Regions from separate parts of the Mus musculus genome. Here all the other regions are reported to be linked to region 7. The links are microRNA targets in miRTarBase. Many come from high-throughput screens and were not tested one by one. Region 7 holds a microRNA gene; each other region holds the end of a gene's coding sequence.

Evidence for each region. The annotated mature microRNA mmu-miR-543-3p reads AAACAUUCGCGGUGCACUUCUU and lies in region 7 at 1,362-1,383, opposite strand. An mRNA with a match to its seed (bases 2 to 7 or 8) in the 3' UTR can be bound and repressed. Matches are read on the target gene's strand: a 7mer-m8 pairs with bases 2 to 8, a 7mer-A1 pairs with bases 2 to 7 and ends in A, and an 8mer does both.
Region 1: the mRNA of Shisa9 is a reported target of mmu-miR-543-3p. Seed matches in the 3' UTR shown: 7mer-m8 at 3,519-3,525.
Region 2: the mRNA of Smarca4 is a reported target of mmu-miR-543-3p. Seed matches in the 3' UTR shown: 7mer-m8 at 1,668-1,674.
Region 3: miRTarBase lists Zfp131 as a target of mmu-miR-543-3p. Seed matches in the 3' UTR shown: 8mer at 2,691-2,698.
Region 4: miRTarBase lists Spsb4 as a target of mmu-miR-543-3p. Seed matches in the 3' UTR shown: 7mer-m8 at 2,600-2,606.
Region 5: the mRNA of Atp10a is a reported target of mmu-miR-543-3p. Seed matches in the 3' UTR shown: 7mer-A1 at 3,721-3,727 and 7mer-A1 at 3,290-3,296.
Region 6: the mRNA of Osbpl3 is a reported target of mmu-miR-543-3p. Seed matches in the 3' UTR shown: 8mer at 3,114-3,121, 7mer-m8 at 2,859-2,865 and 7mer-A1 at 428-434.

Annotation. Positions count from the first base shown.
Region 1 is chr16:12,267,309-12,271,387 of GRCm38, forward strand. It overlaps Shisa9 (shisa family member 9), which reads left to right. Exons shown (of 5, transcript NM_028277.2): 5 at 116-3,596. The coding sequence ends at 495. Among named protein-coding and RNA genes, the nearest start is that of Shisa9, 290 kb to the left of the region's middle.
Region 2 is chr9:21,702,298-21,706,376 of GRCm38, forward strand. It overlaps Smarca4 (SWI/SNF related, matrix associated, actin dependent regulator of chromatin, subfamily a, member 4), which reads left to right. Exons shown (of 34, transcript NM_001174078.1): 34 at 639-1,933. The coding sequence ends at 671. Among named protein-coding and RNA genes, the nearest start is that of Gm26511, 19 kb to the right of the region's middle.
Region 3 is chr13:119,763,114-119,767,192 of GRCm38, forward strand. Zfp131 (zinc finger protein 131) reads right to left here. Exons shown (of 8, transcript NM_001302548.1): 8 at 2,073-3,913. The coding sequence ends at 3,239. All of the region lies in intron 1 of Gm41077 (predicted gene, 41077), which reads left to right. Among named protein-coding and RNA genes, the nearest start is that of Nim1k, 9.3 kb to the left of the region's middle.
Region 4 is chr9:96,941,084-96,945,162 of GRCm38, forward strand. It overlaps Spsb4 (splA/ryanodine receptor domain and SOCS box containing 4), which reads right to left. Exons shown (of 3, transcript NM_145134.3): 3 at 2,399-3,621. The coding sequence ends at 3,494. Among named protein-coding and RNA genes, the nearest start is that of Gm51657, 46 kb to the left of the region's middle.
Region 5 is chr7:58,828,462-58,832,540 of GRCm38, reverse strand. Atp10a (ATPase, class V, type 10A) reads right to left here. Exons shown (of 21, transcript NM_009728.2): 21 at 3,115-4,079. The coding sequence ends at 3,804. Among named protein-coding and RNA genes, the nearest start is that of Gm39019, 99 kb to the right of the region's middle.
Region 6 is chr6:50,293,687-50,297,686 of GRCm38, forward strand. Osbpl3 (oxysterol binding protein-like 3) reads right to left here. Exons shown (of 24, transcript NM_001347213.1): 24 at 1-3,475. The coding sequence ends at 3,379. Among named protein-coding and RNA genes, the nearest start is that of Gsdme, 34 kb to the left of the region's middle.
Region 7 is chr12:109,714,608-109,718,686 of GRCm38, reverse strand. Mir543 (microRNA 543) reads right to left here and starts at 1,429; the gene lies at 1,354-1,429. It overlaps Mir494 (microRNA 494), which reads right to left and starts at 3,369; the gene lies at 3,285-3,369. It overlaps Mir679 (microRNA 679), which reads right to left and starts at 3,110; the gene lies at 3,037-3,110. Mir1193 (microRNA 1193) reads right to left here and starts at 3,016; the gene lies at 2,896-3,016. It also overlaps Mir666.

The sequences.
Region 1 (4,079 bases), not on the chromosome of region 7:
GTCAACTATTTTTTTTTTTTGCAGTATTCTCAAGTTGGCTTGCCTAACTCCCTAACTCTCTCTTCTCTCTCCCCTGTTTCTGCTCTCTTCTCCATCAACACATCCCACTGAGCAGCTGACAAGGTCAATGATGACTTCTACGCCAAAAGAAGGCACCTGGCAGAGCTGGCTGTCAAGGGAAATCTCCCTTTGCACCCTGTAAGAGTGGAAGATGAGCCTCGCGCCTTCAGCCCAGAGCACGGGCCTGCACAGCAGAATGGACAGAAGTCTCGCACCAACAAGATGCCCCCACATCCCCTGGCCTACAACTCTACTGCCAACTTTAAGACCTGGGACCCCAGTGACCAGTCTCTCCGGCGGCAGGCTTATGGCAACAAGGGCAAGCTTGGCATAGCTGAGTCAGGCTCTTGTGACCCCTTGGGGACTCGCACCCAGCACTTCCCACCCACACAGCCATATTTCATCACTAACAGCAAAACAGAAGTGACTGTCTGAGCTTTTACTTCAGGGAGCACCCTGGAGACCACACTCAACTGAAAGAGGCAAAAAATATCATCCCACTTACACCTTCCTGGTCCTGTACACCCCACTCCCAACCCCTCAGCAGACACACACTCCGGGTGTTCTACAGGAACCAACCACAGACCTACTCATAAGGAGTCATGCTTTTCCTGGGTCATGCCTACTATGCTCCCGCAGGCAGCTGAGCGAGACCGAAGCATGGACATTCAGCAATATAGAGGGGAAACTTTCAGCTTCAGGCCCAAATTGTGGGGGCTCATTTCCTTTTCCCCCAAGAGAAAACTGAAATCCATTTTAACAGATATATAAGTAGCACAATTTAGACAAACTGCCCATGGAGCGCATTGGGTCCCCCTGTTCTGTCTTTCCTGGTAGAAGAAAAAGGATGGGCACACGAAGAGGAGTGTGCCAGAGTGCTTGGGAAGGAATTTGCTCATGTCACAAGCATTTCCTTGTCCCAAGAAGTGATGCAAACACAGAATAGTGAAAAGTGTGAGGTAGTAATGGACCCTGAGTGTCACACTGATGGAACATTGCATACCATTGAAGCTGAAAGCAAAAAGCTCACAAAGTAAGTCTTCTCTAAGCCCTTGGTCAATGATGGAAAGGGGAGAACATTCTAAAGAACTCCCTGGAAGACCATGATGTTGGCAGTGATAGGTTTTTATGATGGCCAAGGGGTCCAGAGAATAATAAAGAAGAACTTCTAAAGTGACACATTAAATGAACACACAAAATATTAGTTTTGCCCGGGACTTAGAGAACCTGCAGTTGGAGAGTTAACAGCAGGTGAGAGGCACAGAGGAGCCTTCACTTCCCGGGTCATCTCCAAGAACTGGAACAAAGACAAAAACCATCCTCTATGAACAGTCTGTCCCCACCACTCTTTCCCTTTCAGCGTGCCGCTGCCACTGCTGCCAAACTTCAACTGCTTTGGAGTGAAAAATGTCATAAGTGTGGGTGGTGCCTTCAGTGTGTCGCTGTTGTTCAAGTGATGGTCTCGTTTCCCAAGTGCATCCTCTGTTCCTTTAACCTTCCTGCCTCCTGTTTTCCTGCAGTAGTGATGTTGTCTTTCCTTTGTAGGTGAGCCCAGACAATTAACACCCTTTGAAGGAGCTGCTACAATGTCAGAGGTACCTAAGAATACCCCAGTTCCCACCCTCCCACCAGATTACCTCCAGGGGCACCCTCATGCCATCCTTTCTTACCTGGACTCTCCCAAAGTTGCGTTAAAGATTGGTTCCATCAGCCACAGCCATTGGATCCCAACAAGGAAGGTCCCCCTGAAAGTCTTTTGTTTAGTGGAAGGGCAGACAGGTGCATGGAGAGGCAAGAGAGTTTTGTTTAGAAAGAAGAGTCTGCAACTATCCCCTGGAACTCTGAGCTAATTTACAGGAATCTTCTAAAACCTCACAGCTTCTTTGGTGTAAAAATCTAGTGAAATAGAATTGGAGCATCCCATGTGGTGATGTTCTGCTGCCTGGGCTCTCGGCATCACAGCATCAGCATACCAGATAGTTTCCATGTTCCAAGCAAGTAGGAAGAATTTGGCAATATCTTTGATCTTTCCAGGGCTGTGTCCCATCTGAAGCATGGGGAATCTGACTTAAGTAAAGCCTTTTCAGTTTTTTAAAAACAGTACTCTGTTCTTATTTACAAAAGAAATTCTGCAAAGTCCAAACTTTATAAGATTCTAAAAAAGAAGAGGTGCAGAGGCTAACACAGAGGTCGGAGTAAATGTTGAGAGCCCTGCACTCTCGATAGAGCAGTATGAGCTACTGGCTTGCACATCTCTCTTTGACATGAGTTAATTATGTCCTCGCCACACATCAGCATCCGGGGATTATCATCACAGTATTTGGTATCTGAATGCATTTGCTTTTAAGCCATGTTATTTTAAAAGGGAAGCATTTTGTATTTATCACATATAGAACACTAGCATCCATTGCCATGAACAGACAATAAACATTATGGGAAACATATTGGCCTCAAAGACAAAACTCTAGTGGACATCTGGCCTGCTCTCTTGTTTCTCAAAAAGACCTTAGTCTAGTTAAAGATACTGGTACACAATAGAGAGTTTGTCCTTGGAATAATCCAGTGAAGGGGAAAGCAGATGAAAAAAAAAGAAAACCTCCCTTTTTTAAGTTGGTGTTAGATCGTGCCCTCTATCCATATGCTACCTCCATGACATACAATTTGCATGCACTAGTGACATACAGTCCTACTTCAAGAAGTACTTACCTGAAACGTTCTTTTCAGGTCAAGTTCTGCAATCTTTTCCTTCCTTCCAGCTCAATTTCCCCTCTCCACTCCCTTCACTTCCCCTTCATCTAACTCTAACTTAAAAGTCTTTCTTGATCTTTAGTCTATTTCTTACTCATCCTTCTTTTTGAAGATGACTTCATCCAAGTAGACGTGGCTCCTTGGTCTGCAATTGTAATTTTGACTTCCAAGACAGAGTCTGGCCACTAGCAGGTAGCATATACTTCCCAAGTAATTCGGTCATAGACAGCTCGCACAGTGCTTGCTCGTTGCTTCCTGTTTGACTTTGGGAGATGAACTGTGGAGTGACAATCAGTAGAGAATATCTGTTTATTCTTTGCCTTCCTCTTGGGAAGGCAGATAAACCTTACAATATTGAAAGAGAACATGACCTATACAATAATTGAAGAGAAAGAGTAAGATTATAAAACTGTTTTCTTCTCCTTCCATGTGATCCCCAATTTCTAACTCTATGGGACCAGATCCTGGCTTCCCTCACCTTCCTGGAGTCTTAACCTCCATCCGCCTTGGGCTCTGCCTGGAATTCCCATCTAACCTCCCCCAGATTTTTTTTTTTGTGTGTGTGTATAAATGGAGCATATTTTATGTGCAAATATTTTAGTAACCGTATGTTCTGCAAGTAAACCTGTGTTAACACTTGTCACACTGCAGAGTTTATGATACAATAACACTTCCTACAATGAAGAAAAAAACATTTGTTTGTTTTCTAAGAATGTTTATTTGTAAACATATGTATTCACTATATTAATATGAATTTCTTACCTGGCAATAAACTGATTATATGTGATGCTCAGGGAGTCTTCTTATGCTTCTGGGGGCCCCGAGGCTGGTGTGAGCTTCCTGTGGGAACGTAATGTAGCTGCTCAGCACTGTTCTTCCAGGCTCACAGAACCAATCCTCTCAGGGAATGGAAGCTCCTAGTTGTCGGCAACTTATACAAGATTTCCAGACCTATTGTTCGGTCTTTTTGGTAAGTATGCACATGTCAGAATTAACTGGGTCCTTATATTTCTGGGTCTCTTTATCATCACTACATCCATATCAATAAGAACCTGGCTGAACCTCAGACAGTTACTTCTGCTAATAACCAGGTGGCCGTGGGCATGACTGCCGTGGGCATGACTACTGACAAGATGGGAGAAGGCTCTTTCCCTCTTTATTCAACTGTATTTCCTAGCTGGCCTCCATCATTTCTCCAGCATCAGACAGAAACTTGTTAAAAATGGCTCTTCCTGAAAGAGGCTGAAAGTCTGAAACACCAAGGGAAAGAA
Region 2 (4,079 bases), not on the chromosome of region 7:
TCGTCTCTCCAACCCTAAAAATGACTCTTAATAAGATAATGGCTGCAGGCATAGTAGTAAACTCCCGTGATCCCAGGCCTTGGGAGGTAGAAGCCGGAAGATCAGGAGGCGTTCATGACCATCCTTGGTTGCCTAGCAAGTTTGAGGCCAGCCTGAGCTCTATTAGACCAAAATGGCAGTCAGAAGACATGTTCATACTCAAGAATGGCTATAATGAGTGGCTGCCTCTTATGGGGTTCCATGTTGGCCTGTCCCTACCATGGTGCAGGGCAAGGTCCAAGTTTTGATGCAGTTTTCTTTTTTTTTTTTTCAAAGATTCATTTATTTATTTATTATATGTAAGTATACTGTAGCTGTCTTCAGACACTCCAGAAGAGGGAGTCAGATCTCGTTAAGGATGGTTGTGAGCCACTATGTGGTTGCTGGGATTTGAACCCAGGACCTTTGGAAGAGTAATCAGTGCTCTTAACTGCTGAGTCGTCTTGCCAGCCTCCTTGATGCAGTTTTTTTTTTTTTGCCACAGTAAGATAATTTATCCCTTAAGGATCTAGGCCCTTCCACAGCATTGAGAACACCATGGACAAGGGAGAGTGCCTAGGCCGCAGCCTACTCACAAACTATTCCCCCTGTTCTTTCAGGACCGCTCAGGAAGTGGCAGTGAGGAAGACTGAACCAGACATTCCTGAGTCCTGACCCCGAGGCGCTCGTCCCAGCCAAGATGGAGTAGCCCTTAGCAGTGATGGGTAGCACCAGATGTAGTTTCGAACTTGGAGAACTGTACACATGCAATCTTCCACATTTTTAGGCAGAGAAGTATAGGCCTGTCTGTCGGCCCTGGCCTGGCCTCGAGTCTCTACCAGCATTAACTGTCTAGAGAGGGGACCTCCTGGGAGCACCATCCACCTCCCCAGGCCCCAGTCACTGTAGCTCAGTGGATGCATGCGCGTGCCGGCCGCTCCTTGTACTGTATCTTACTGGACAGGGCCAGCTCTCCAGGAGGCTCACAGGCCCAGCGGGTATGTCAGTGTCACTGGAGTCAGACAGTAATAAATTAAAGCAATGACAAGCCACCACTGGCTCCCTGGACTCCTTGCTGTCAGCAGTGGCTCCGGGGCCACAGAGAAGAAAGAAAGACTTTTAGGAACTGGGTCTAACTTATGGGCAAAGTACTTGCCTTGCCAGGTGTATGGGTTTTGCATTCCCATCACCCACACACCCTAAACAAGCCAAGTCAGTGAGCTTCAAGTTAGAGCCTCCACCTCAATGTGTACGTGGAAAGCAATCAAAGATGATGCCTAGCATCCACCTCTGGCCCTCATGTGCAGATGTACACACACTGAATTACATACACGGGACACACACATCCACACGGAGGCAGTCCATGACTTGCACTGGGGAGATGGTACCATAGGCGAAAGTGCCACAGGCACAGGGCCAGGCTAATTTAGTCCTGCAGTCCTGTGCTCTTAAGATGAAGGCACAAAGAGGAACCCCAGGCGCTCCAACTAGCATGCCAGGCAGTGACAAGACCCTGCTTCAAATGAATCAGAGCCCACATTCAGTATTGCCCTCTTACCCGATGCGATGCCCATGCCCTCACATATGAATGTGTATATATACATACATACGTAAAATAATTCTTTTTTAAATTATAGACATTTTTGTGTGAATGTTTTGCCTGAATGTGTGTGTGTGTGTGTGTGTGTGTGTGTGTGTGTGTGTGTGTGTATCAAGTACATTCCTAGAGCCTACAGAGGTCAAGGGAGGGCATTGGATCTGGAACTGGAGTCACATGAGGCTGTGAGCAACTGTGTGGGTTCCTGGGCCTTTGCAACAGCAGTTAGTACTCTTCACCACTGAGCCATTTCTCCAATCTCAAAAAGAAGCATTCTTTTAAATGAAGACTGAAATAAATAAGTAGGACTTGCCTTGGTTCTGTGCCTATAAGCCCCAGTTCTGCCTGCAGCCCTTTTGCCCTCCAGTTCTCCATTACCGCTCAGTCTTTGGCCATCCGTAGCTACCAGCTGCCTTGGGAGCCACAGTTGTGTGACAGCTCTAAGGCGAAAGGGGAAGTGTTGTACTCCAAGAGAAGTGTTGTACTCCACTCCAGTGGTGGAAGTTTGTCCCAAGGTCTTACAGCTCTGAAGAGAAAGGTCTCCTGGAAGTCTAGAGCCAAGGAATACCACAGAGACACACTGTACAACAAACCCCACAGGAGACTTCCCAGGAGGGAAAGATCCGAGAGTGTGGCAGCAGAGGCAAAGATCTCCGATTTCAAGGCCTGTATAGTGAATTCCAAGATTCATAGGGTTCATAGGCCCTGTCTCAAAATAACAAAAAATTTGTTCTGGGGCCAGGCATATAGTATACACCTTTAATCCCAGGAGGCAAAAGCTGGTGGATTTATTCATTTCTTTATTTTCGGTTTTTCAAGGTAGAGTTTCTCTTGTGTAGCCATGGCTGTCCTGGAACTCTGTGGAGACCAGTAGGCCTTGAACTCACAGAGATCACCTGCCTCTGCCTCTCAAGTGCTGGGATTAAAGTTCTACCAAGGCTGCTTTATATTGTTATGAGACAGTTTCACGTAGGCCAGGGTGACCTTAAACTTGGTATGGAGGTGCAGCTTGCTGTTAACTCATGATGATCCCAAATGCTGAGATTGCAGGCCTGTACCACCTAGCTAGTGCTCTTGAATTTATCTTCCAAGGCCAACCTGGTCTACAGAGTAAGTTTCAAGACAGCCTGGGCTATACAAGAAGGGAATACAGAGAAGCTGTCTTGGGGGAAAAATTAAAGAGTTCTAGGAGTCAGGCGGTGGTGGCGCACACCTTTAATCCCAGCACTTGGGTGGCAGAGGCAGGCAGATTTCTGAGTTCGAGGACAGCCAGGGCTACTCAGAGAAACCCTGTCTCAAAAAAACAAGAAAAAAAAAAAAAAAAAAAAAAAAGAGTTCTAGGGACTGGAGAGCAGTTAAGAGCACTGGGTACTCTTCCAGAGGATCTAAGTTCAATTCCCAGCACCCACACACAGGCTCACAACCATTTGTTCCTCCAGTCCTAGGAGGTTCAGTGCCCACTTCTTGCCTCGGGGTACTGCATGCATATAGCCCACAAGATATACATAGCAAAGCACATAAACTAAACATGAGTTCTACAGTCAGGCGGAGTGATGCATGCTTCCAGTCCCTGCAGGGGTGGGAAGATCTCTGCATTCAATAGTAGCTTAGTGTACATAGCAAGTACTGCATGATGAGAACTTGTCTCCAAATTCAAAAAAGTGTCCTGGGGACCAGAGAGCTAGCCTAGCAGTTACAGGTACTTGCTGCCAAGCCTGACAGGCTGAGTTTGCTTTGCAGAGTCCAGGTGGAGGAAGGAGAGATTCCACTCCCTCAGGTTGAATCTCTCTGGTGTCAGGTGTGCTATGCCTTTATGCCAGTTTCCTAGACCACCACAATTCAAAACACGTTTATTCATTATTATTTTATGTATATGAGTTAGCCTAGGAGTTCTTGAACTCTAAACACAGTTTTTTTAATGGAATGTAGTAAAATGTGGGTCTTGGGTTGGTTGGAGAGATGGCTCAGTAGCTAAGTACATTTGCTGTTCCTGCAGAGGACCCAGATTTGGTTTGCAGAGCTCACATGGCAGCTCACAGCACCAGGCACGCGCACATGGTACATGCAGGCTAACTCATATACGTAAAATAAAAATGACTAAATGGGCTTTGAATTGTAGTCCGGGCAGCAAGCTGTGTAAAGGCATAGAACGCACAGCCTGCCCAGTTGGTGAAGGCAACAATCCACTCCCATAAGTTTCTCCCCTTCACATATGAGCCCCCTACACACATTAAATACATCCATACATATGTGCATACATGTAAAAGTGAGCCCTTCACAGGGAAGGCAAAACAGACCAGAGTGGTTATTCATTATAAAGAGCAGCAAAGTCCAAAATCACCCCAACAGGCTCTATGTGACCTTTCGTCTCTTCTGTCAGAAGTATAGAGCAGATGGAAACCGTGGTGCAACCCTTTAATCCCAGCACTCAGGAGGCAGGCACACGCAGATCTCTGAGTCTGAG
Region 3 (4,079 bases), not on the chromosome of region 7:
TATAAAGAGCCTCTCAGTCACTCCTGGGCTGAAGATACAGCTCAGTTAGTAAAACATTTCTGTAGCATAGTCAAGGCATTAGGTTTGGTCCCCGGTATTGAAAAAAAACATCCCCAACATGTATGTACATACACACACACACACACACACACAAACTTGGCTAACCAAGTGTTTCCTGTAAGTCCTTTATCACTTATGTCAGTTATACACCAAATGACCCCAGACCCAACAGCCAGTGATATCCACTATCGGGGAATTCGTTTAGTAATTCCAACTCCCAGGCACTAACCCAGACCAATAGAATATTCAAGTCTGGATGTGGAGCCTAGCAAGTTGCTTGTAACAAGATTCTGGTAACTGCTAGGCTACTACCTGCCTGCTCACCAAAGGCCAGTGCTCCAGAGATAAATGTTGCACCCTGACTAGGTGGGAGGAGTTCTCTTCCCCATCAAGAGCCACTTTAGGAGCCTGAGGTACAAGTATAGATGAAGTGCAGCAGGGCCACGGGCAGGCAAGCACACTTTGAGTGGTCTGTCATCCCAGGTGGGTTTTCCTTTCTTCCTTGTCAGTAACAAACAACTTGAACTTCTTGATGTAGTTCCCATAAACTTGTTTAGACAGATGACTTACTTTTCTCCAATAAGGGCATCATCTAATCTAACAACTACCAGATATCCTGGGTTATGTAAATTAAAAAAATCTTTGGGAGTGACATGTTATTAAACCGCAGTTTTCTTACAAACTGGAATGCCAGTAAAAGGGAGATTCACAAATGGGAGTACACAGCCTCAGGGCAAGGATGTGAGGTTCCTTGACAGCTTAACAGATCTCTTATCTCCTCTACTCCCAGCCCCATGAAAAGCTGGAGTGGACACCAGAAAGAAAATGAGTATTTCTTATGCTTTGTACACTCTGAAGTAGAGGTAACTACTTAATGATGTACGTAACTAGCTCCAGCCATTCTCTCACCCAGTCAATGAGACTTTAAGTGTGTGGATGTATATACATAGGTGATTTATGACTGACAGCTATCATTACAATCAAACTTTCCATTCCCAGGTCACATTTGTAGAATTACTAAGGTAGAGGTTATTTCAGCTAAATCACATCTCACTACCATCAAGAAGAAATATGCTGCCTTTGGACTTACCGTGGAGGAGGGGCTGTTTACAGCACAGAGGTTAGATGTCCTCCATGCTCTGACTAGCTGATTAGAGCAAAACACACTTCTAGGCCTTTAGTCTGGCGCTGATTCTCATTTCAATCCTTTATGACAAGTTTTGTTAAAGAGTTACAGCACACTTCAGCACATTGCACATGAAATACATTTTGCTTGGGTCCCCTTCTCCAAATGTAATCAACACAGGGCCTTCAAAAGCTCTCCTCCCTCCCTCCCATTTTTCCACATCAGTTTTAAGACTACTTTCAAGTGAGCTCCTCAATGGCCACCTTTTCACTGAAGACAACACATGCTAAACAGAAATTAAAACTTTACATTTAGGTCTAATTTGTTGTTGGCTTACTCAACATATAAAATGTGGTCTAGTGATAAACACTTTGTAAGCCTGATCTTAATATTAACAAACTGAGTGATATAAAACTATGTGATGTTACCATTTAATACCACAATTACCAAAAGTATTACTTGAGCTGATCTCTTTAAAAACAATTGGAAAAACATGTTTAAAATAAATAGACACTTCTAAAAAAAATACCACTTCCAATTTTTGCCAATAATATTTACAAAATACAAGTAACTTGTGTCTTGGCCTTCTTAGCTAGCTCTTGGGTTAGGAAGTATGTATTAACAATCTTTTATCTTAATTAATGAGCCCTGTTTACCACAGTCACAAAAGTGCATGAAGTATCTCCAAATTGATAATTAAAAAAATGTAAGAGGGCTGGAGATGGCTTAGAGCACTCTGCTCTTTCTGGGGACCTAGGTCTGATTTTCAGCACCCATATGGCAGCTCACAACCAACTCTACCCATCTTCTGGGTTTTGGGAGGGGGCATCAGGCACGCACATGGTACACAGACATGCATACAAACAAAACACCCATACACATAAAATAACACATAATTTTAAAGTTTACTTTAAAACGTAAATTATCTCCCAGTATTTAACAGGTAAAGAAAATAGCAATATTGATTTTACGTGGTTGTTATTTTTATTTTCCAAGTAATACTGATTAAAAATATTTACACAACTACTTTTAAGTCCACAGTTTAGCACTCTTATTTGTATGGCTTTAAAAGTTATAGCACAAAATCTTTACATTAAGAATTGGGGGGAAAAGATTCCACTCAAAACAAAAGCCTGATATATTATATACATGTACATATCCTCTGTACTTTATTTTAAATACATTAATTTAAAAATGATGCTCACCTAATATTTTTTCCATCTGGTGGTAAAATACTAGTGCAACTTCTCATCAAAATAAAGTTTACCACAGATGGAAGTGAACTTTTCCAATTGAAAATGGCCCTTCAGCTGCCGTTAAATGAAAAAATTTCAATGTAACTTAAAGGAAAAAGAATTGGTAGTTGTCATTTTAGCAAAAAATACCAAGTACCAGAGCACTTTAAAACACAAACTTTGAAAGAACCAGAGGTGTTTTTCTGAAGTTTTGTTGGCTTTGAAAAGGCACAGGGTGGTTTTTTTTTTTTTGTTTTGTTTTTGTTTTTTAACATTCTAGAAATTCTGCCACCACCGTTTCTGTTGTGGGGACAACATTTGTAGCCACTGGATAGACAAGAATGTTGTTCAAAATAAAGCCAGCCCCCAACTATTAACTGCACGTAACAATGCACTTCCCTCATGCAGCCTTGTGTTGCCTACATACTCAACTTTTTAACATGCATTAGAATACAAATGTACGTATTCTAATGGTTTTAAGTATGATTTTATAATATGCAAAGAATTTAAGGAAAGACATGACCTGGGGAAGAGGATACAGAGACCCTTACCACAATGAAAATAGATGCATTCGTACCCAACTATATAATAAGAATATAATTCATTTAAGTTAACAGAAATATACTTCTCAAAGCTTCCACTCATTATGAGGAATATTCCCACTCTGTGGCATTAACTGGAAGGACATCAGCCTGTTTCCATAGAAACAGTTCAGCACAACAGAAATAGTTTAACTTTGGTCCACTTATTTGATAGCTTAAGGTCACACTGCCCATCAGTTTACCACAAATGTAAATTTAAAAATATAACTGTTATTTCATTCTAAAACCGGCAGAGATGTCCTGTCATTCTCTGTTTTTCTAGCTTGGGAATACTCGCTTGGTTTGGTCTCTAACCCCTCAGCATCTTCGTGTTCTTCCATGGCAGCATCTGCATGGTTAGGCTCTCTCTCCTCTTGGCTCATGATTTCAGGGGTCATGTGATCCAAGTCAGCTTCTAGAAGCTCAGTCTGTACTTCAACTGGCATCTGATTTACCCGTTCAACGTGAAGCTCTTCAACATGTACTTCAGTGCCTTCTTCAGTCTGAATTCGGCCCACTTCCAGATAACTCACTTGGACCTGCTCTGGAAGCCCGGTCATTTGTGAATCATGCACTTGGCTGTCCTGGAGCAGATCTGGATGAACTTGTTCCACAGTTACTTGTGCGGAATCCACTTGGACCTGAAGCAGTGGCAACACATGCACTTTCCCAACTTGCTCTATAATAGTCATTGATGTCACTGGCTCGGTTTGTAAATGTGTTTCTACTGAAAGGACTTCTTCAGTTACTATACGCTCTGAAATATTGTGAGCATCACTAAGATGCCTCCGTAATTCATTTCCTTGCATAAACCACAAGTCACACAGAGTACAATGGTTGGGTTTATCTCCAGTGTGTATTACCAAGTGATCTTTGAACTGGTCCCAGCTGTTAAATACACTGTTACAGACCTGAAATCACCAAATATAGTATGTCAATAATAACTATAATCATACCAAAGTAAATGTGAATACACTTATTCCCCATAAAATACACAGACTGGTTGAAGTTAGCTCAGTAGTATCTGCCTAGCAATCACAAGGCCCTGTACTGGTTCTAATCCTAAGTGTCAACAAA
Region 4 (4,079 bases), not on the chromosome of region 7:
TCACTCGGAGGCAAATGTGGCAAGGCTCATGTGGAACCAGCCTGAGTCCTTAGAGTCAAAGTTCTCAGAAAGCAAACGCTGTGCCAATGGTGCTCTAGACTCCCGCGTGTGTCCCATGCGTGTCCAGCCTGCAGACTGCAGGCCACATGTGACCAAAGGCAGTTATGAATGTGGCCCAACACAAATGTGAGAACTTACTTAAACATTGTGTTTTTACTATATAAAACCCCCCCAGTTGTATGATCCTGGAGCATGAATTTTGTAGGTGATTATGTGTAGGACATTCCTTGTAAGCTCAACGCCTGAGCAACACTTCACCGAAGACAGGAAGAATAACACCGTGCAGGTGAAGGAGGATGCGATTGTCTTAGGCTGCACACTTATCCCCTCAGAATATGTGTACCTTTCTTCCCTAAAAGAAAATGCATTGGAGATAGAGACTGTTGATCTAGCCTGGGCTCTGTTTAGCAGCCATGATGGAAAGGCCAGGGCCACAGTGCTGGCCTGGAGCCTGTTAGAACCAGGGAGCTGCCTCCAGCCACAGCATAGCAGGCTAGGGTGCTCTCCTCTGGGCCTGAGGCCATCATGGACAGGGAGATGTGCAGAAGCAGCACCCCAGGATACTTCACACAGGACAGCTAACAGACAACGATTGTAGTTTATGGAAAGATAGCTGGATGTGGTTTTGTCTCCTATCCATTGCTGCTGTATCCAACATTTTTTCAAGTTTTTTGTTTGTTTGTTTGTTTTTTAAAGCATGTGTATGAATGTTCTGCCTCCTCTCACCTGTCTAGCTCCTTGTCAGGACTCAGTACCTAACTCCCCAGTGGCTTTCTGTAGCCTGACTCCTAGCCCCCACCTCACCCCATCATCCCCTCGAACACCATGCTGCTTCTTTGCTTGGGGGCCATCTTTATCTCCCCCTTAGACTGTGAGGTCTGGCAAAGCTGGGCCAGGACTCAGTCATTTCAGGATAGTGCTGTAGGTATGGTCACGAGAGGACAGGGAGCTTAGGAGAACTTAGGGGTCGGTCCTCAGCTCTGGGAGGACCTCATCCCTACTTGAGCTACTTGAGCTCTTCCCTTGCAGTTTCCTCTGGGTGTCCCAGTTTGCAGAGGACATTCTATCTGTCCCGCTCCTCTACAGGCCTTTGCAGAGCTGATGTGTCTGACCTACGAGGCTGTTGTAGGTATAGGCACCGGCCCAGCCCTCCAGAGACCCACAGCCTGCTGGATCCATGAGGCTAAGGGCAGATAGGACCCAATACAAGTGCTCAGAATAGGGTCCTTGGTGCCGGGAGATACATGCTCAGAACTGATAGCTCAGAGCAGGAAGACACTGGTGGGTGGTTATGGGGTGTCTAGATGAAGGCTGATCTCATTAATCATGAGAGGGTGAAGTGAGGGAGGGAAGGCACTGTTAGAATGAGAGAAGCCACGAAGCTTAGGAGCTGAGACAAAAGGGCTTCTTCCAAAATGGAAAGTGGTGCTGAAACTTGGACCCTAGAGGCTGGGAGAGGGACGGTCCTTAGTCAGTCACTGGCTACCTGGTCAAGCTCCTTGTGCCCAGAGGGGAAAGTGACTTACCCAAGGTGACTGTGTATAAACAAGGAAGCCTGAACCCCAACCCAGGCTTCCCGACCAGTGCCCAAGCTTGTGCCTCTCCCGGAAGCTGCTTTTAGCAACCACAACAACTGAACGCTTTGGCAGCTGAGTCAGTCAGTGGCCAGGCAGGTGCTTAGAGCCTGCAGCCTGGAGACGCCATTCCTATCCTGTCTCCAGCCTCAGGGTGGGCAGACAACGTGTGTCTCATATTCGCTCTTCTGATCACAAGAAATTGTCTCTTCCCCTCCCCTCCTCCTCCTGCTGAGTTCCTCAAGGTCTTACAACAAACTGTAAATGTCCCCACCCAGGACAGAGACATCAGTCTGACACTGCCCTAGAGTCTGGTGTGGTGTGGTATATGGGTGGCTGATGCTGCTAAGTGAATCCTGTACTGGTCCTGACATAGTCCCCTTCCTGTCCCTAACTGCTAACCTGCTACCAGCCCCAGCAGAGCTCAGCTTAACTCTGCCTCATTTGCTCTGCAGCAACCAGCACTGCTCCCTGGTGGCCAACTGCATTCAGCCCCAGAGCCAGGTCTTGGGTTTACCCTGACTGACTCTGGTCACCTTGAACATCTAAGGCTTCAGCATCAGGGCTTATAGGAGTCTTTGAAGATCCTGGGGACAGAGTGTCTTCCAGATCGGGTCTCTACATCTCTGTGGTTGGGGTTCGAATGTGGACGTTTGTGTGTGTGTGTGTGTGTGTGTGTGTACAGAGAGGCACTCCCAGGTTTGATGTCTGTGGATCTGGGGACAGACCAGGGAGGATGATGGATAGAGCACTTTACACACAGCTGAAGGACAGAATGACAAACTTTTATTAGAAATGTTCCTTGCTTGTAGGTCACATTCACATTACAGTGTAGGCTGCACTGTCTGGCTCTGTATCCTACTCTGTGATGATTTCCAGTTAAAACTGAGTCTGGGTGGAGGGTATCTTGGAACACACAAAAGATGCCAAATGGTGGCGCTGGCGGCAGCAGCAGCAGCAGCAGCAACATTCTGTGAGAGGATAGGTCTCAGGTCCTGCAGAGACTGTTATACCCACCTTTGCAGTCCCAAGGCCACACCGCGGGGCCCCAGCTGATAAATAAACGGTGCATCACACACATATTGGAAACGAGAAACAAACTGGAAGTCTCCTACAGTGAAAAAATAATTTGCTCAAAGAAAGCTTTGTGACAGCCAGGCTTCACCCTGAATGATGGCTGCCAGAGCCCTGGATACTCAGGGTGTCTCAGACTTGGTGTCACGAGGGCCCCATCTTCCTTAGCACCTTTGGGAGAAAGCCACCTTCACCACACTCCTCTTTCAAAAAAAAAAAATGCAAACACTACTTACAATGATCATACCCAAGAAGAAACTCTGTCCCCAGGGCAAGTCATCAGATTCATGTCCCTGAATAAAGTGGGGAGGGGAATGGCCAAAGAACTTTATCCATGACGGAAGAGGGCAGGAGGGGATGAGGAAACCGGCTCAGAGAGGTAAGGCCAGGTGCTTTTGCCCTGCTGTGGGACCCTGGACTCATCTCTCAAAGTGGTACCAAGTCTTAAAATGGAGGACAGTCTCTCTGCCCTGGCCAGGGGCAGGCGTGGAGGAGACCATCAAGGGCTGGCTTCTGTCATTCATTATTCAGAACCCATTTTCTCTCCACTGGCCAATTTTCCTGGGTCTGTCTGCAGTGGGGAACTAACTGGATGCCGTCTCCTGCCCAATGTTTTATTCATTCTCTTGAGGAAGATAATGGTCTCTACACTCTGGTTCACGAGGTGGCCTCCTGGTCCTGGTCGGTGGCAGCAATGGCAACAGGCATTCCTTTTCCAAGTCACTGATGTGTCCTGACGCTCTGGAGCTGTGTGACCACAGATGACAGCCGATCCTCAGCGCCGCTCACTGGTACTGCAGGTAGTTTTTCAGAGACTGAGGCAGGGGCAGGGAGCCGATGTCACGCAGGCGCTGTCGGCCCAGGGCTGAGCGGATGGATCGCCGGCACAGGTCCATCAGCGGCAGAGGCTCAGCTGCAAAGACAGTGAAGCAAGCGTGAGTGCCCACACCTCCTCACTCCGCCTAGCTTGCCTGCTGCCTACCCTTGCCCCTGAGCTGGCTCAGTGCTCCCTGCTACTGAAGAGCCATCCCTGCTTGCAGTAAGAGGCACTCAGCAATGATTATGAAAGGCAGCTGCAGCTGCTCAGACTATAACGTTTAGAACAACCGCTAAATAGTGGTATTTAAAGATGAATAGTGGAAACAAAGTTATCCACTGCCAGGGTAAGTTCTGATGTAGAATGTGTGGCTCAAAACGTTTAGGATGATTTATCTCAGGGTACTCAGGAGGCTGAGGCGGAAGGATCATTTGAGCCCAGAAGTTCAATACCAGCCTGGGCAACACAGCCAGATCCCGTCTCAAAACAAGCAAGCAGACAGGTTAGATTCCACCAGGCTATTGAGATTCTTTCAAACCCACACGCTTTCCCTC
Region 5 (4,079 bases), not on the chromosome of region 7:
ACCTATACTATGGCTTTCAATTAAAAAATTTCAAGTTTATTTTATTGTATGTATGTATGTATGTATGTATGTATGTATGTATGTATGTATGTGTATATATATATACACACATATATAATGAATATTTTCTATATCACCTGATTATATGTGATATATATATTACATTTATTATAAATATGAATTTATAAATAGCTTTCCCTTAATCCTTTTAACCATAAATTCTTATTGTAAAATGGCATATCATGTTTCTTCTCTTCATATATCTTTCTTGAACAAATTGTACATTAAGAATCTGAATGCCATAAAGCATTCCTATCTGAACTGTCCATTATCCCTTAACGATCGTAGTTAGCTTTGTGTTCAACTCTAGGATTAACTAATACTTTACTGAATAAAGCAGACATTTTCTGTTCATGATTTATTGGTGGAACTTTCTTTGGTATTTTTTTTTCCATATATTGTCCTACATAAAATCTTGAACCACTTTGTTAATTTCAGAACTACCCAAACAAAGAAACTGAAAATTGAGAATGGCTGACAGGAAATATGTATGGAATGAGACAGCTTCACATTTTCTAATTTAGAGATGACGCCTTCTTTTCTGCTCACAGAGATTGTTCTTCAATATTTGTTTTTCTTCATATTGTGGCAACTGAGACCTCTTCAGCCTTCATCAGTACACCTGCATGATTCCCACTGTTCTCTATACAAACTGTGGCTAGTTTTTCTTCCAGTGAAATGATTTATTTCTTCCTTTTCATTAATTCTAAGAGCCTTTTAAATTTATTCATTTGGGATTTTCCAGGTATTAAATTGTATCATGTATGAACAATGGTTATCTTTACTTTCTGCCATTTAGGAATTAACTTTAAGAAATTCATATGCTATGGTATCAGCGAGAAAATCTGGAAACTATTAAACAAATAATGAGTTATAACAAGTAATTTTTAATATGATTTTAATAGGAGTATCTTTAATTTTTATTAATAGGTTGATTCTTTTACTTACCAATATTTGTTGAATGCATCTAAGATATTAGATTCTGTGCAATGTCAGACATGCAAGGCAGAATGACACAATCCCTGCTGCCTGAGAAGTTGGTTTTGATTTTGAGGCAAGTAGCCATGCTGTGCAATGTTTATTACCTCATTCAGTTACTTTGATGCCCAAAGCTGGATGAGTGCAACCATCCACCAGCATAGAGAGCTGATAGAATTCCTCCTTAGATTACTGAGAGCTTCTTATTTATTCATTTGAACTTCTAGGCATATTACCCAGTCATGTAGTAATAATGTTGATTTTAGTCTCTCCCCTTCCACTAATTGCTCTTTTGTAAATATTCAAATTTTCAAACCTTTTGTTAGGTTTTGGCAATGTATTTTAGGTGGAATGTTTCAGAAGGGTTCATGACTTTCACCCCATATTATGCTATGTTGAGATGAACGTGGTTGGCTGGAATAGACTACGGTAAATTGCATAAGTATTTCTCACCCTATAAATAGCCAACTGCCATAACTTTTGAAATATTTCTCTAACCGGGCTTTGCTATGAAAGTTTCTGAAGCTAATGCCCAGATCCTTTGCCAAGAAACCCTATCCTCAGAGGGAATATTTCTCCTGCAAAGAAGCAAGGCTGTGAGTGCAGGGCATCTGGACATTGGGTCATTTTAAAGTCAGACATGCACACATTTACGTGTGTGTGCATGTGCATGCACACACACACACACACACACGCACACACACATGCACACACACACAGGTATATGCTTGTTATTGTGGTCTTGTGATAAGAACACAGCTTCACACATAAAAACTTTTCAGATGTGTGGCTCCCAAGAACAGAAAAGGTGGCACTAGGCATGGCAGGGAGTGACACAACAGGGACCCAGTTAGGAGAGCTGTTGCCTTTGATCCTGCAATGCCAGTGCAAAAATTGCCTCCCACTAACTTCTGCCACCCCCATCTCAAAGCACCCAGGTGTCTCTGCCAGCTCTATCAAGAAGTGTAGTGTGGGGAGCAGAGAAAGCCCCCAGTGGATGAAGTCCTGAGTGGGCATGCACTGTTGACATCGGCACAGACATGTCAAGGACCATGGTTTCAGACCTAAAGGGCGACAGCAAAGCTTTCCCTTCTGTTCCATCTATGGATGTTGGCACTGTTTATCAAAAATGTCTACCACAGCTTCCTGCTTGCTGGATGTTCATAGGCTGCAGACCACTCCCCTACAGCGACTTCCTCCTAATTTACCTAAACCTGTCTCCTCGATCCAACTGTACTCCATAAACCCTGCCTCCTTGTTTATTTGGGTGCAATAGACCTGCCTCTCTCTTCAACTCTATGTAATAAACATACTGTGCTTCTGGGTGACAATGCTTCGCCACCCGGGAGCTCACTCCACCAGACTCCACTTCCTTTCTCTGTCCCATTCCCTTCCTGTCCCTCCCGTGTCTGTCTGTCTGTCTGTCTGTCTGTCTGACTGTCTGTCTGTCTGTCATTTCTTCATTTATTTACCAAGTTTGTCAGGGCAAGTGAGCCTGTGTCTAGGAACACAGTACCATAGAAAATATACCCCTCTACACACAGTTTCCTCACAGCTTCCACTCTGAGGAATGAGGGACATTCTGTTTGACAAGAACCATATTTAGTGGGTAGTTCTTTCCCAAATCATTATCCTCTGTCCCTCTGCATTGCAGCCTAAGGAGACAGCTACCCACTGGATGAGCCTGAGACATACTCTGCTCACTTCCTATCCTAAGTGTGGGACAGGATGGTCACTACATTGGGGGTGAGTTAACACTGTCATTGATATATGAGAGTTTGTCATGAGAGTTTTAATCATTTTGGAACAAGGAGAAATGCTAGCTCATCAGACAAAAGCCTGATCGTAGCTACTCAGAACGTTTAAGAGTTTGGTTGGCAGAATCTGGCTGTTGCCTATGGCCTGGTGCAAGGAGATTGGGATAAGAGGTCACTTGGTGGCCCTGACCTATACCCCACAGTATTTTTTTCTTTGGTGTCTGAAAGGACTTGCATGAGGAAGTGTCCTCACAGTATTCAGAACACTCTAGCTTGTGTCACCCACCAGGATCTTCACACAACAGTGGCACCAGACACTCTCATTGCATAGTGGGGGTTGTTTATTGCCTGTGATGATTTAAGCAAGAAATACACACAACACCGGAGCTGTCAGACCCATGAGGTGAACTTTATGAAATGCCTGCCCAGATGTGAGTGGTGGCAGAAACGTCACATGGGTTTTCCTCAAGGTTTCACTTTCTGTTCACTGTTAGTAACATTGGAAGACAATGGAGGTATTTGCCTCAAAGGTCACATGCCCTTCCGTCTGTCTTCTTTCCTCCCTGTCCTGTGTCCACACCCGCCACAGCTACCCCAGGCTTCACCGGACTAACTGTATGTTTATGTCTGCTGGCAGAAAGTGAGGGTCATGTGTGTTGAAGAAACAATGCACATTGCTTTTCCTTACAAAAATGAGATGAAAAAATAAATCTAGACACACTTTTCAAGTGTCACTCTTCTTTAAACTTTATATATAGATAGATAAAGATATGTGTTCTTATTTTTCTTAAGTATACTCTACTTAGAACTTTTAAAAAATAAACTTTCTTTTTGGTACCTCTGGCTTCCTATATATGTCTTGGAAACATTTAAAAAATACATCTTTCTAGAACTCTTCTGTGCAAATAATAAACATAAATAAAATTAACATTTGTTACATAATAATAAAAAGGCCATTTCAAGGATTTCTTTGTCACCACATTTGGCTGTGGCCCTTCGGAGGTGATACTATAAGTAGCCCGTGACTTGTCCCTGGAAGCTGTGCAGGTCCTGCTCTGGCTGTGGTGGGTTGGATAGAAACTCACCATCCTGCTTATCCATCTGTAAACTACTTCCAGACAATTGCAAGACACTTCCCAGCCCACTGGCCAGTGACAGCGAGGAGATCCAATTTAGGGAGCCAAAGCTGGGCAGATGGAAGAGTGACGACAAACGGGCAGTCTGACTAGCACTGGTGGATTGTCTCTTAGAATCCCCAGGACATACTTCTGAAATAGCCCCTCT
Region 6 (4,000 bases), not on the chromosome of region 7:
GATCGATACAAGATAGAAAACAGAGCGTGTGAAAATAGCTTTGATCTACTAGCAAAAATAGATTTATGCTGATGTTGGTATTAAAAATAAAGACATTCGAATAAATTCTGACCAAACACTGTAGCCTGTATTTCTAACTAAGATCACGAGAGCAACTTAGAGCCCTGGCTGGTAGCTCGAGGGTGTGAGGACAGTATCTAATAGCTACAGTCCCTCAGAGAGAGTGTGTGGTGTGCACAGTAGGCCTACATTAAGAAGCAAAGTAGCCCTCACCTCTATTTTTGGCTTGACTTCTTTAAGGGTAGACTGAAACAATGCATCATAAATCTGACAAATACAAAGGAAGACAGTGCTAGAAGGCTGAGCAAATGATTTATTGGAAGTAATTAAAAATAGGATATGAGGAAAACAGAAGCCTAAGTGGAGTTAACATTTAAAAAACTCAGTTTGTGTAGTTTTCCATCAGGAAGCCCCCAGAGGCACTGGAAGGCTTGGGGATTGCTGAGGCATTCTTGCTACTTAGTAGGTAATTGTATTTATGACCTAGAGTGAACCCCCATCTGTTTAGTACAAGAACCCTCCTGAGACTGTTGAATGGCAAGCTGTTTAGTTAATACCAGGCTCCCCCTAGTGTCTCAAAAAGCACACTGCATTCCATCTCTTTAGTTAGTACCTGACCCCTGGTGTCTGGGATGTGAACTGCCAATGTTTAGTTAGTACCAGGAGCATCCTAGCATCAAGATGTGAACTGCAGGAAGAAGCTGCACTGAGGCTTTTATTACGACAGGGCCTGTGGAGGGAACTACACTACTCCTTTGCCACACTGAAGATACTCATTCCTTAACGATACCTTGCAGATCGGGGTTGTGAGTACTGAGAAGGTGCAGTTTGTGGTTAGCACAAGGTCCTGCTACTGGGAGAACATCTGTGACTTACCATAAACTTGAAATAGGATAATTAGAATGAAAGGGGCTGAAACATGCACATCAAATGGTGCAGCGATTGGCATTGTGTACTGGAGTAAGTCAGGAGTTCAGAAAGATTAAACTTTACTTAATTCTTCTCGAAACAATACCACAGTTCTGTTTTCCTTATGGAAACATCCAAGTTCTAGACACACAAACTCGGAGGAAGAGTGTGTGAGACAGAACGAGAGGAATGTAGCAGCCTCCTCCCTCCAGCAGGGAGTTTTAAGATTCACATAGCAGCATGCACCTCCTGACCATCTACATTCCGAAAGCCCTTCATCCAGACACGGGCAGTGACTTACAGAGCTTGCACATGGTTCTGGAACATATTTTTGTTCATGCTTCTCCCTGATCCAAATAAGATGACTACAGAGGAGACATTTGGGTCAGCTGTAGGTGTGGATCCAAATTAAAGCTTGAAGTCAACAGAAATTATACCACGAGATACTTTAAGAATGTTCAAACAACTGGCTGTACTGATTCTGGGGATACATTCTCGATTTTGTGGGATTTTTTTTTTTTTTTTGTCATTTTCCTTCTCCTTTGGGGCGGCCTCTCGAGCAGGCCTACTTCACAGTCAGTATTGCTGAAATCCCACGTGTCCTCTCGGGTTTGTTTCCCTGCCGAGATCCCTGCTTACATCTCCAGCCTGTGGTCAGATGTGGATAGCGCTTGAAAAGGAAAAAAAACAAAACAGGAACTAAAGAATCGCCGCACCACCCAGCTGCTTAGAAATGGAAATGAGATTCATGCTGCGTTCATCTTGGTGTCTCCACAACATGGAAAAAAAATGAACCAATATTTAATGAGTTGCTTAAAATGACAGTCACTTGTAGACTCCAAAGACTACTGATTCACCTTCAACACTCCACTTGTGAAAACTTCAGCAGTGCAGTTGGTTATCTGGTGTGACACAGGTCAACTCTGGGAGTTGGCTCTTTCCTTCTATCTTTTAGATAGGTCCTGGAGACTGGACCCAGTGCCAGGTTCACACAATAAGTGCCTGTGCCTGCCGAGCCGATCTCACTGGCCTCCCAAATTCGTTCTATAGAAATCTCTTTACCCTATCATTACACGCAATGTTTCATAGAACTGCTACAGACATCCGAGTCAAAGGCTTAACAATCAGACTTTGGTTTTAATGTGCTCTGGGCAGAAGTCAGAGTTGTTTTGATAACACAATTCAGCTACTGTGCACATTCTATTATCATGATTTAAAGTAAGACACTTATAAGAACAACAGTTTCCCTTTGGTAGCTCCTGTCTGAGACAGATGCAGAACTCAGAGTATTACAAATAAGAAGAGAGTCAAGGAAAGAGGTAAACCCTTGCAGCTTTCTCAAGAGGACGACATAGAAGAACAGCAATGTTTGTCTATAAGGCAGATGGTCAAACTGGCTATACAAGGTCAAAAGGGCGGTGCTCGGTAAGAGGTAGAGAGTACCAAAGCCGTGTGGAGGAACAACGCTGGGTTATTTAAAGCCACCAGTGACTTCGCTGAAGTTTAGAAGGTCACACTGCCGTGGGCTGTTACTGTTTATACTAAATGAGAGACATTTCATCCTCAATAGGGGCCAAAAAGAGGGCTTGCAAGCCAGGGGTGGAGCAGGAAGCTGAAAGTAGTTTCTTAAATTTTTAAGGATTCAGCTCTTACTGAGGACAAACGAAACGTCTGCTGCCTCCCTAGGACACCATTGGGACACTGAATTAATGGAGTCTTCTCTGATGAAGGCAACGTCTCTAGGCAAGCTGGGGGCAGTTTTATACACAAGGCAACAGAAGTAAAGGGAGGGAAGTTTGCACTTCTGGTTGCTTGATGCCCACCTTATATAAAGAATATGCATCTCACTAACTTTATACAGATTTCTTAACCAGGAAAATGCAAATGAAAACATTCTTGGTACTTCAGCACCGGCAGAATTGTTCTGTATGAGCAATCGAAGAGCTGTCTGAGGCGAAAAGATATCCCAGCTACCAATTAACCCTGGGTAGCTATGCATGGGTGAGTATCCCTGGGTGTTATTATTTCTTAACGCATCTGGGACAATTTTTTTCCAGTGTGATTTTATAAGGCATAAATTTGAAATTTCCCCCTTACCTCTGGAAAATTAGTGTTAAATGTTTTTTTTTTTGTAACCCACACATTAACATTCAATCTTTCATTTTTATTAAATAGTTTATATATATAAAAAGAAATACCGAGGTGTTCTACATTCATATAAACAATCATGATAACACTTGAAATTTTAAAGAGACTTACTGAAGAAAATATATACTTCAGCGCTTACAATGCTACGCTAAGCACAAGTGATCATTCTAGATGCTATCTTTTAAACATACAGACAGCTGTGCGCTGCTTCCGGAAGCAAATGTGGGCAAAGTTACAGGAAATCTCCTTCTCTTTTACATTTCACCATAAGACGGGATGGTCCAACTTGGAAAAGCCAAGGTCTTTCCTCAGTTCCAGGTAGGTCCCATTGCTTACCCAAGCATCGTCACTGGATTTCCTGTGAGAGATGAGACGAGACAGCTTCTCTTAGAGTCCGCTATGACCTCCTCTCTCCCCCTCCTTCCTTTGCTTGCCCACCATCACTCCAGAGAAATTCATTGTTCTTGTTTGGGTATTTGAGTGGTGTCCAAAGACTGACAAACATTTTTTATTTCTGATATATACTTAAGCCTGGAAGTTGGGAAGGTGGTGCTTCTAAAAGGATGCCCCCTCTGTATGTGTGTGTGTGTGTCCCCATCCACCCTCTCTCTGTATGCTGTACATCAAACAAGACTGGACTGATAGCCACCACACTGGGAACAACTAAATACTACCCAATCAACCAGGCTGATCGAGGTCAGTCTAAGTTAGCATAAAGCCAAATAGAATGAACAAAAAGGAACTGGACCGTAACAGTCATGAGAGAACTTTTGGTTTAGGGCTCTGGGAAAAGATCATCTCCTACATAGATAGAAATTCAAAGGGCACAAAAGGATCCAGAGCCTACCATTTTCTGGTTAGCCCTACCTCCCAGCCTCACGTC
Region 7 (4,079 bases):
CAGGCGGAAGGAAGGGATGGTGGGTGAGGCAGATACTTGGCCGGGAGGGGGACAGGGATGGGGGTCCTGAGGCAAGGGGAGTGGCTCAGTACTCATCACTGCCATAGCAATCCAGCCCAAACCCCCTCTACCTCAGGATCTCAGGAAGACCTGGGACGAAGACTGAAGATTCTGAGATGTTGCCTACCATCCTTGCCAGTCATTCTGAAGTGTCACTCGGGGGAAATGGGATGGTGCCAAACTCCAAGACAGAATCTCCTCTCTCAGTTCCAGGATCCTCTTCTGAAGCTGAGAAAAAAAAAAAAAGTCAAAGAACTAGGTGGCAAAATCCAGGGCAGCCTAAACCAGCTGTGTGAGTGCCTGGATGATGCCCTCTGAGGTCCCCCCTCTCCCGCACCCAGAAGTGACTTACGATGTAGACAAATACAACAAAGAGCTCACAGGGTACTGGGAAGCAGAAGAACAGGTTGAAATGGGAGGCTCCAGGATTCTGAGCGTGTGAGATGTCTGGGGATGCAATGTCCGTTCATCATCTTGCGGCTGTCCTGAACGGGACATATGACCGACCCTTCCCTGAAAACAAAACGCATTGATTAGTGTGTGTTACCGTTACTGGAAGGTTACAACACTACAGCAATATATCTGAACCACAAAGGAAAGTGACTTGGTACCAACTACCTACCTTAGACTGGACAATGGGAATAATGAGCAAGAGAACATACCATCCAAAGAATGCCAGTTACACTCATTGACAGGCCACTCAACAAGGAGCCATCCATTCCTCTCATAGTAAGGAAAGGCCCACCTCAAGCTGACTTACACACAAAGGAGGCATCCAGGCTAATATAACTTAAAGGTACAGTGACGTGTTGAGCTTCAAGGAGTGTCGGATGCAGGTCCCAGATTGTACTGTTACTCAAATGTCCCATGGTTCCTCTGGGACAGGCACTTCCCCCTCTGTCTAAACAGCCCTGGGTACTGTCCTCTTGAATTCTAGCTGGCCTTCAAACTCAGGGAACAGTGAGATCCACTCAGACATCTCTCACAGAAATGAAGACTCATTCCCCTCCCAGAAGTCTCAGCAAACATCTCCCTGTGGGCTAAGGTCTCATCTAGGAATCAATAATGTCTGGTCAACTGGTTCCTTTGACACTGTGTTGTGGAGGAGGGAGGAGGGAGCAGGAGCCAACCAACCCAAACCCATTCTCATTAAGAAAGGTCAGAGGACCATTCAAGAAGGGAGATAAACTCACACAACCCAGGCTCACTACATAGACTACTTTCCTAGACTAACATGGCTTCCCTGAAGTCAGTAAGTAGTTGAACCCCCGAAGTCTTCAACGTAGAATAGGATGCTGAAAAAGAAGTGCACCGCGAATGTTTCGTCACATATAAAGCGAAAAACACGCGGGCAACTTCTCATTAAGCACCGTACGTCAGCAGCATGGAACCCTGTGTACCACTTGTGTACCGCTGTCGTCACTTCCTGTGGCTTGAGTACCGCTGTCGTCACTTCCTGTGCGTGAGCAGGCGATCACGCTGCAGCCCCGCTGTACCTAGGGGGCTCTCACAGCTGTGCCCGCTCCACGCAGGCAGAATCAGGATCTTGTAGACAGGCTTTGGATTGGTCATCCTTTGGGGAGGTCTTTGGAGTCTCCTCAAACATCAGAGAATGATATAATAATCCTGACTTTGCTTCCCAAAGTCCAGCTCTGGATCCGTGACAAGAGAGGAGGTGGGTCCCGTGACCTCTCAGTCGAGGTCACCACCCATCTGCTAGAGGGGAGGACATCAACCTATGTTCCACGGTGGAGGCCCTGATGCAAGGAGGTTATCATGAAATGGGAAACAAAAAGATATCTGAGCCTTTGTCAGAACGAGACAATGTCTCCTGGACAAAAATATATGTAAGTGGCATGTGGTGTTCTGAGAACAGATTCTGTTGACCCTCCACTTGCTGGGAAATGGAACATTGAGATTAAAAAAAAAAAAGAACATGAATAAAGATAGACTTCTTAGGTGTTCCAGGTAGATAGTTGGTTGCCTATGCTTGTACACATGTTCTCTCCCTCATGACATGGCTACAGGGCACCTCCCCACCCTTCATTGGCTTGACCAATGAAACATGAGCAGAATCACAGTAGTTCCTAATCTCAGTCGGAGAGTTCCTACTTACTTTCTATGTCTCTGCCATGGCTGCAAGAACCACTTGCCAGGAGCCTGGAGGAGGGGCAAGGAAGCCACCTTCACCCCCAGGGTAGCAATACATCAGGAGGTCGTCCTAGGTATGGAAGGCATACTCAGCATTAGTAAAGAAGGACACACATGAAAATATAATATATTCTTTCAGACAGAACACCATGACATACCTTTTCCATTGATGAGGACTCTGGTGTCCTTCCCTAAGGAGATGTCATATCTGAAATACATCTCCTAGTCAGGTACTTGTGCTGGGAAGCAGCCAATGATTTGAATCCTCAGAAGACAAGCAAAATTGAACAGACATGGAGATGAGCAAGAACAACGAAGCCTATGCCATAAGTGACAGATGTGGGCTTGATGCTGGGCTAGAGAGACCTGTCACTCACCCACCAGGAGAAATGTGCCCCAGCTTGGGATATAGCTTCACATTCAGGGGATCCTCCAGGATGGCGTTGTTTACTGCAAAGATACAGGATCATAAAATGAAAGTCACGCCCATGGTAGCCCCCCCCCAACACACACACACACACACACACACACACTCTCTCTCTTGAACACATATATGTACACACACAAGCAGAAAAAGGATCCCCCTTAAAAGCTAACTCTGCTTGAAATATTTTAGTTTCACGCTGGCCTCAACCCCACCAACATCTTCTTCATAGCTGCCGTGTGCACCAAGGTGTCTTCCCACAGATGGTCTGGGTGTTGGTGGATAGTAAAACGGGTGACCTACAGCATAAATGAAGTGTACGTCACCGGTCTACCATCCACACAGCTACCCCGAGAACAGTGGGCATCATTGTCCCTTCAGTCACGATGCTGGCACGTCCTTATAGCTACTGTGAGGAGGACCTTGCTGAAAAGCCATCACACACCAAGAGTCACCTCACAGTCCAAAGCCATAGGGAGTAGCCTCAGGCCACCACGGGGACCCTGTCCCTTCTTCAAATGACTTTCCTTCCAGGGCTGAGTCCTGATGCCATACTCCCATGTCCCATGTCCCAGAGTCCAGGGAACAGCAGTCCAGGTCCCTTCCCTGAAGGCGTCATCAGGGACAGGGAGTGCCCCCAGGGTGGGATTTGATACTAAAAAAGAGGTTTCCCGTGTATGTTTCATCATAAATAAAGAGAAGACAACACGGACAACCTCTCCTTCAAGTATCAATTAGCACTGGTCAGAAAGCAAACAAAGGCAGCTGGAAAGTGCCAGGTGCCTTGTCAGAAGTGTCTGCTTCTGTGGGCCCTGGAGAGCAACCAAAACCCCTGTGCAATTTGACAGTCCACAGAATTGCCTGAGACTATTTACCAACAACACAGACCACCTGCATTCCTTATCTCTCCAGGTTTAGGGGGGGTCACTGAAGGGAACCAGGGACCCCAGAAATTGTGCCTCAGGAGATAACAGGGGAATAGTAGCTCTCAACTTCAACAAGTACAGTACATTGGGGGTGTTCAGGAATGAGCCTCGGATTCTGGTTCCAAGAGGTAGGTGGGTGATGAGAAGCGACCCAGCCCTCTGGTTGTGAGTCTGGGTAGTTTCCAGGGAAGGTAAGATTCTAAAAGCAGACACATTATAAAGTTAGTAGGAAGGTAAATGTGTGCCAGCACATGTGGTAGTATAAAGAAGCAGCAGGCAGGGGCAGGCAGTTCCACCCCCTGGTCGAGTGGTTCTCAACCTTCCTAGTGCTGTGACCCTTTAATATACTTCCTCATGTTGGGTAATCCCCAACTGTAAAATTATTTTCAATGTTACTTCATAACTGTGATTTTGCTACTGTTATAAATCATAATGTAGATATCTGATATGAAATGCCTATGAAAAGGGCTCATGATTTGCAGATGAGAATTGTGTTCTACCTGGAACCCCACAGAAAG